2 linked regions of the Arabidopsis thaliana genome follow. The protein of the gene in region 2 interacts with the protein of the main gene of each other region in a pairwise test. Each region holds a gene or a part of one and is shown on either strand. Other genes may lie near its edges.

What was found.
Region 1: the proteins of HEC2 (region 2) and ALC interact in a two-hybrid assay, tested with the Arabidopsis thaliana proteins (one large-scale study listed by BioGRID).

Annotation. Positions count from the first base shown.
Region 1 is NC_003076.8:26,784,520-26,788,336, forward strand, and holds ALC (basic helix-loop-helix (bHLH) DNA-binding superfamily protein), read right to left. Parts: upstream 1,913-3,817; 5' UTR 1,820-1,912; coding exon 1,583-1,819; exon of another isoform or gene 1,471-1,582; coding exon 1,399-1,470; exon of another isoform or gene 1,309-1,398; coding exon 1,243-1,308; coding exon of another isoform or gene 1,165-1,242; coding exon 1,099-1,164; exon of another isoform or gene 1,005-1,098; coding exon 813-1,004; 3' UTR 587-812; downstream 1-586. Other genes in the region: ICU2 (DNA-directed DNA polymerase), read left to right, coding at 93-212, 283-357, 445-585; AT5G67120 (RING/U-box superfamily protein), read right to left, coding at 3,311-3,571. UniProt on the Arabidopsis thaliana protein: Required for the dehiscence of fruit, especially for the separation of the valve cells from the replum. Promotes the differentiation of a strip of labile nonlignified cells sandwiched between layers of lignified cells.
Region 2 is NC_003074.8:18,656,246-18,660,233, forward strand, and holds HEC2 (basic helix-loop-helix (bHLH) DNA-binding superfamily protein), read right to left. Parts: upstream 2,133-3,988; 5' UTR 1,874-2,132; coding exon 1,178-1,873; 3' UTR 710-1,177; downstream 1-709.

The sequences.
Region 1 (3,817 bases), on a different chromosome or scaffold from region 2:
CGCCTTGTTTTTTCCTCATAGTTCTGAACATTTGTGATTTGTCCTTCTTAATTTATGCTAAGACGTTTTCTTGTACATTTTGCCTTCAACAGTGTGAAGACGAGTCATGCAAGCACACAACCCGCTCCCCCAACTTTCGTCTACTCGGTGAACGTGAACGGGGGACAGTTTGCCCAAACTATCCTAACTGTAACGGAACCCTCTTACGAAAGGTATATACCATCATCAACCTTATAACTCCTATCTCTCTATTGCTTCACAGACTAACTCTTGACTTTACAGTACACTGAAGCAGACTTGTACAAGCAACTGTCATACTTCTGCCACATCTTAGACACACAATGCTCTTTAGAAAAGGTTTCTACTTTACAACCTTGTTATATTATTAATATCAATTTGTCTTGTCTATATCCCTAAAGTTATCGGTACCATTTGAAATAACAGATGGATGTTGGCGTGAGAATTCAAGTAGAGAAAGCAATGACGAAGATAAGACCTGCGGTTAAGTCAGCAGCAGCAATCACTCGAAGTAGTAGAGACCGGTGTGCTTATGGATGGATGCAACTCACAGACATAGTCATTTGATAGTTGTAATAATCATCTCATATGTAAGTAAATTAGTCTTTTATATATAATCTGCTTCAGACATCATTATAATCAAACTACTCAGATTTTGTTCACTCCTAAAGCTTATTAGCATAACTATAACTGAACATAGAAATCTGGCCAATGCTAAAACTCAAAACATTGTTCACTCCTGTCTGGCAGGTACTAGAGGAATTCCGATCATCATCATTGTCTGAATGTTATCTTCAAAGCAGAGTGGCTGTGGAAAAGCACATTCCTTGACTTGTTTTAGCTGGTTCCAGCGAGTGAGGAGCAGCGAGAAGAGTCTCTAGGTTCAGGTCTTGCTCTAAGGTCTCATTGATCCTTGTATGAGTTGGAGGTGGAACCTGTGGTAATCGCATAGGGTTTAAGCCTAAACCATTCATAACGGCTAAAGTCTGCATCATGCAGTAAATCAAGTTAATGATCTGAGTGATGTAATTTACAAATCAGACTTTGAACGTATATAATCATAGTAAGTAGGAAAAAAACCTGGACTTGAAGTTGAAGCTGCTTCAGATATTCTATAGCTTCATCAAGCATTGAGGCTTTATCAGTCTATAAACAAACAAAAGATAACGGATCAATCAGAACAATGTTTCTCACTATCTCTGATTCGAACAAAGATTGATTAACCTTGTTGGAATTGGGAATGAGTTTCTGCAAAGCTTTCATTTTCTCGTTGATCTTGCTCCTCCTCTTCTGCTAACACTCAGATTCTAATCAACTACAATCTCAAGGTTCTTCTTCTTTCTAAATTAAGAATCTTAAAAGGAAGATAAAAGAGAAAACCTTTTCAGACAAGTTGTGGAATTGAGCATCAATGTTTCTCTTCAACGAATTTCTCTGTTTAGCTCCACTTCTCTTTAGTGTTTAGCCATTCCAAAAAGAAAAGAGACTAATTTTGGTTTTTGTTTTCTTTTACAAGGAAAGCCAAGTGAAGCATCTCTGCAGCTAAGAATAGTTAAGTTTATACCTTGTGTTCGAAAGCATATTTGTCTTGGCCAGTTTCAGAGACTCCATAACCGACGGAAGAAACAGCTCCGCCGGAAACGGAAGGGAAGAAGGTCTCAGCGGAGGAAACATTAGTACTCTTCGGTGGTGAAGAAGGTTGAGCTGTAGGAGTACGGGAAAGAATCTGTCGGAGAAAGCTCGAGAGTTCGTCGGAAGAAGATGGAGGGGGAAGACGATCACCGACGTCAGAATCACCCATCTCTCTCTCTCTCTCTCTCTCTGCTCTACTCTGTGTGTAAAAATTATCACTGTGGCTTTTTCGTAGTAAAGCTTATAGGCGGGGGAGGTAGGACGCGTGAGATCACGTTCTTCAGAGAAGCGCGTGGAGGTTCTAAAAGAGGCGAGTGGCGTGTCGAATCCCTATAGACAGAATCTGGTGTCTCACATCACTCTGTGTGTGAACAGTTTCCTTTTGTAGCAATTTTATTTAATAATATTATATTTTTTACCTAATAAAAAAAAGGAAAAAAGCATTTTTGGACCACCAAGTAAATAAAAAACATACATTTTTATTGTTTTTTTCAATGTGATAAGTTAAATTGAGAGGAGGGGATGAAATTATGAAAATCAGTAAATGAAACGGTTGAAAAAATAAGAGTATTGATAAGATAGAGCATTGATAGACTATTTAATTATTATTATGACTAAACATGAAAATGGACAATTACTTGAAAAGTAAGGTCTCGCAACAGTTTCACCATTTTTGACAAATTACAAAAATCTATTTTTTCCTTCTTTTTTGTTGTTGTTGTTGTCCACAGATAAAGTGTGAATAAAACTGCATGCATTTCGAAAGATTATTTATTCGAGAGATTATTTAACACAAAATAAAATTCAGATATTATAATGGTCAATACAAAGACGATAACATGTCCTTGATCATTAGCCTTTTTTTAATGCATCCAAAGGGAAATATATATAATATAGTAATTAAAATAATTATGGTTCATAGCAAAAATAAGAATAACTAGATTTTAACCCGCGGTATACCGCGAAAACAATTTATTTTTTAAATTAATATATATAAAAGTTTGTAAATTGTATCTATCTATAAAATATTTTTATTGTATAGTTTACAATTGTTATTAAGTAACGTCCTGCCAAACCCGTCCCGCCAACCCGTCCTCTAAAAAAACTCATTTATTTTATGAATGTGATCTTATTTATGATATGTTTATGAATTATTGTCTAAATATTTTGTAATTTTGTAGTAATTAAATGTTATCAAATATCTCTACGGTTTGATGATTATAATCATGCAGAAAAGCAATATCAAAAATGATAATTTTGTAGTAATTAAATGATATTAAATATTTTAGAAGTTTTATTTTAGTAATTAATCGTGTAGTTAAGGTAGAGAGATTTTGGAAAGATTGTTAAATGTCAAATATTTAATTAGAAGATTTTCTTTCTAATTATCAAAAACAATTATTAAATGCCAATGACAGCCGCTGTAAATAAATCCCAACTCCAGAATTTATTTCACAAAGTGGCTGCAAAAATATATATATAGATGATAATAATCAAAATCAGAAATCAAATCAAAATCCAACTTGCCATCTAAATAAATGGAATCTTTCTAACTTGATAAAAAGGGAAATATTGGTAATTATGGTTCATAGCAAAAGAAAGAAACAAAAAAACTGAAATCCAACGAGATAAACGGAATCTTTCAAACTTGATAAAACATTTAAACGACTTCTCGGTTGCAAAGAGGACACTTGTTCGTGACCATTAGCCAATTCTTGATGCATCCGAAGTGAAAGTCATGCCCACATCCCAGTTTCGAAACTTCTTCATTGTCCTTCAATTTCTGCTGACAGATCACACATCTCTTCGTTTCATCGTCGCTACGCTTTTCATATTTCCTTCTTATTAGATTCTCATCAATCACTTCCTCGCTTAAACCAGTGCGTTCATCTCCTGTTTCGTCAGTGATGCTCAATAATTCCTAGAAAAAAAAAGATTCATTCATAAAATTATCGATATCTAAACTCTGCAGCTTATACAACTCTAGAATCAAGAAACCAAAATGGTACATATAATTTTTATTAAAGAGAGTCCTAATCTCTTCTACATCTAGGATTCAAATGCACTTCTTTGAAAACTACACATGCAACCGACTAGTTAACCAATACTGGAAGCATTAAATTTTCAATGTTATCTTGCAAAAAACTCTAAAGTGCTAACTTCTAAG
Region 2 (3,988 bases):
ATGTTCATCTTCATCTTTCTGAAGTACCCCTTTTGCTCCCAGAACAATGTCCGCCGTCGTGCTCCGACCAAAACATGTAGTCTAAGTCTAATACTAGTTTGTATCATTATCTGTTACAACAAACATATCTGTGTACGGTAAAGGGCTTATCTTTGTGAAATGGATCTTTATTTGGGCTTTACCTTGTGACACAATAATATGTAGCCTTGGTTTGTGATATAAATTATTTTTTAAAGTTGGGATGTCAGCTGGGTTTCTCCATCTTCTGTAATGAATGTAGTTGATTCAAGTTCCGAGAAATTTATGAAGAAGCAAAAAAAAGAAAGCAAAAAAAAAACATTTAAGTACGAGATAGATTGATATACACTCATTCAAAAGAGAAAAAGTTATTTATACAGCAAGATAGTAGTAGTAATACAATCTGCCTTTCTAGTTTGTTAACTAAAAAGAAGAACAATAGAAAACATATAATTTTACATATATAACTCACCAATATTAAAATCAATATATATGGTAATTTATTTTCTAAACAATTTTTGTTTTATTTCATAAGAGTCTGTTTTCGTTTAATTTAATAAGAGGCTTAGACTTTTGTATTTATATATTAATTATTACATGCATTGAAATTTTGCAGAATCTTACACTCTAAAAGTATGATATATATTTTTATTTTTCAATAAGTGTTAAAATGCTAAACAACACCACAGATGTTCGTGTTATCGATTTGTCTCCAAAACTTCCTGTTATCTATAAAGTTGGCTCACAAAATCATACACCTATGCATCAAGAACGTACCACAGGTACGAAATGCCATAAATTATAAACTTTTGACGCTTACATTGGAAACAAGACAGAAAACAATACTATTATTCAACTCACAAAACCTTAACTAGATGTCTGAAAGCTAAAACATGTTGCATTGATCAGTGACAAGAGACTATTTCATTTAGTAATGATAAATTGATAAACTATGCTTATTCTTTAGTCTTTACAACCAAGTTGTCTGACTTTTAAATTGTTAATTAACCATCCCAAACATTATCGAAACCCGGAAAGATAAAAACATTTAAAAAAAATGCTCTCATAGTTTCATGATACTAAATTCAACTCCCTCGATAATATTTTTTCCCGTCATATTAATAAACATATGATATATATTTAAAAATCAACATCATCATCATCTAAGAATCTGTGCATTTCCAAGCATCTGGTGATGATCAGACCGCATAATGCCACACCCTTTTCCTCCATATCCTCCACCAACAGTACCCGCAAGTGCTCCTCCGGCCACCGCCGTCATTCCTCCGCCGTTAACCACCGCATGTTCCTCCAGCGACTGCACTTGCTTCTTGAGAAACTTAACGTAATGGATAGCCTCATCGAGCATCGACGCCGTATCCATCTTAGTCCCACCGGGAACAAGCCGCTGAAGAATCCGAATCCGCTCGCTTATCCTCTCCCTTCGATGCCGAGCTGCCACGCTCTGTGGATCCTTAGAGATCCTCACGTTCTTTCTCTTTGGTGGCTTTACGGATTCCGGATCAATATGTATAGGCTGCATCACGGCTATTCGAAAGATCATCTCTCTCATCGCCGCCATGTTGGCGTTGTCGCTGCAGCCTCCTCTCTTCTCCGGGAGAGATGATGACGGGGAGGGGGCGTACCGGAAATTTAAACCGGGTTGGTGGTGAGGCATGGTTTGGTCAAATGGGAGATGAGAATGAGTGGGGTTGAAGAAGAACGGGTGGGTGTTGGATTCAGAAAGCATCATAATGTTATGGGGATTAGGGTTAGGGTTTGAGTTAGAGAAGTGTTCAGGAAGCTTCTCCATCTGCTGCATCATCATGTTCATTAGAATGTCGGAGTTATCCATCCTCCTTTTTTGTGGAATTTATAGGGTTTGTTTTTTCTTTGAGAGATATGGAGAAGCTGGTGAGATAAGGTATGGAGGAAGAAGAAGATGGACTGACAAAGCTTGAAATTTAGGGCTTTGTGTGTCTGAATCACAGAAGAGATGATGGTGGAAGACAGAGGGAGAGTTATGTGCGAAATGTAAACTGTTACTACCAATCAGAGATTCAGCAATATAAAAGGAAGTGATGGATTTATATAGCACTTTGTGACCCATTCTTATTATTTTACTCCTTTTTATTACATATATAATTTATAACAATTAGGATTGTTTTCCTTCTTCTATTTTTCACACTCCTAAAACTTTGTAACACACACGTATATGTATTTAGTAAATATATGTATGTATACATTAACGTACACTAGCTAGCAGTTGAAAATTTGTTCATTGCTTTGACATGGATGTTTCAACCTTCCATATGCATTGGACAGTTATATTTATGTTGCACGTATTTTTTTTAACTATAAATAAAATTATACTATTTATTTTATGACAAAAAATATAAATTTATTTACTTTAAACTTTCAATACCAGTTTTGCATAAATTAGTTGGTGTACTTATATATACTTTTGTCTGGAATCATTGCAACTCGCAAGAGATTGGAATCACTAGTCACTTGGTGTCACTAAAATTAGCTGATGAATGGAAAATTCGTTTTGAGTCATATTTCATGAAGGATATTATCCTTTGTCTGGATCAACCGTTCACGTGTCACAATCGGTGGGATTTTGGACCCACGAGTTGTGAACTAAGGCGCTTCTGGACAAATGAAGGTGCATGAACCGCTCTCACCATTTGAGGCAGCAACCATGAATTTTCCTATTTCTACAATTTTAATTTGTTTTCAAAATATAAAAATAAATCTTTTATATAAGTTCGAATGAGTGTAATGGGAAAGACTGAAAGAGAGAGTAGTTGTGTAGTTTTTTTTTTTTGGTATCTAAATTTTATACTACTGTTTTTTTTTGTTTATAATTGTTAATTACCCCACATCCACATGAAATATGTCAGAATCCAGGGAACCCATCTGTTTCGCCGGGATCTGTTCAGGCGACGGCGAAACAATATTACCTTGAATTCAAGTTTTCTTATTTTAACTTTTAACCTGGATGGATCCAATATGTTATGCATGAGAATATTAATGAGATGCACTGTCTTCGTTAGTAAGTAGTAAATAAGATTGATGTTATAACTTCTTTGAACATGCTTGAAGAAAACGTACTACGTTATTATTTTTTTGCATGATTTTTTTGTTTTTGTTTAAATGAGTAATATAGTGAATTTCTCGAGTTTCACAAATACAAACCATCATGTTAACGTATTTAGTTTATATGAATTTGTTTTGCAATGTATATACTAAGGGAGTGTATATTATGGAAGAATATTATCTTATATATAATGGACTCAATATAATCGAACCTCACTTGGCGTCGAGCGTTGGTATATGGCACGCTTATCAAAGCCGATCGGAAAGGACTTATTGCGATCTTCATTAAATTATTTTTCTCTTTATTTTAAGAACTTTACGTGAACATAGAGTAGTACTGTTTATTGACAAAAAACAAATAAAGAACAAAAGAAAGAAATTCTTATAACATTAGTTAACAAAGGAATTGCACTTCAACAACCAAATTAATAATAAATGACTCTTTCCTTAAAAATGCATACGTCAAACGTCAAAAACCTCACAATCTTCAATCAAGATCAATGCTTGGCTTCATTTGTGCAAAATCATCGGGTTTTTTCTTTTCATTCATAGAAATCATCTCTTTTGACGTCACAAAAGTAATTGCTTACTTGTTAATTAAAATTATTATGAGTTCGTCTTCTACCCTATAATTAGCCTAAAATAGACAGACACAGTAAGTTGCTTTGGACTTGGTTTTACCCTCTTATGTTGACACTGAAACATGTAAGAAAGCTAACGAAACGATGACGTTTCGCTGCTCTCTCTTTTTCAATCAGCTTCGTAAGTAACAAAAATAGATGCTATTTTCCCCTTTTCACCTTTTTACTTACACAAAGTCACTGTAAGAATTAAACACTCCTCCTTCCCACCGAATCTAAATTTCTTA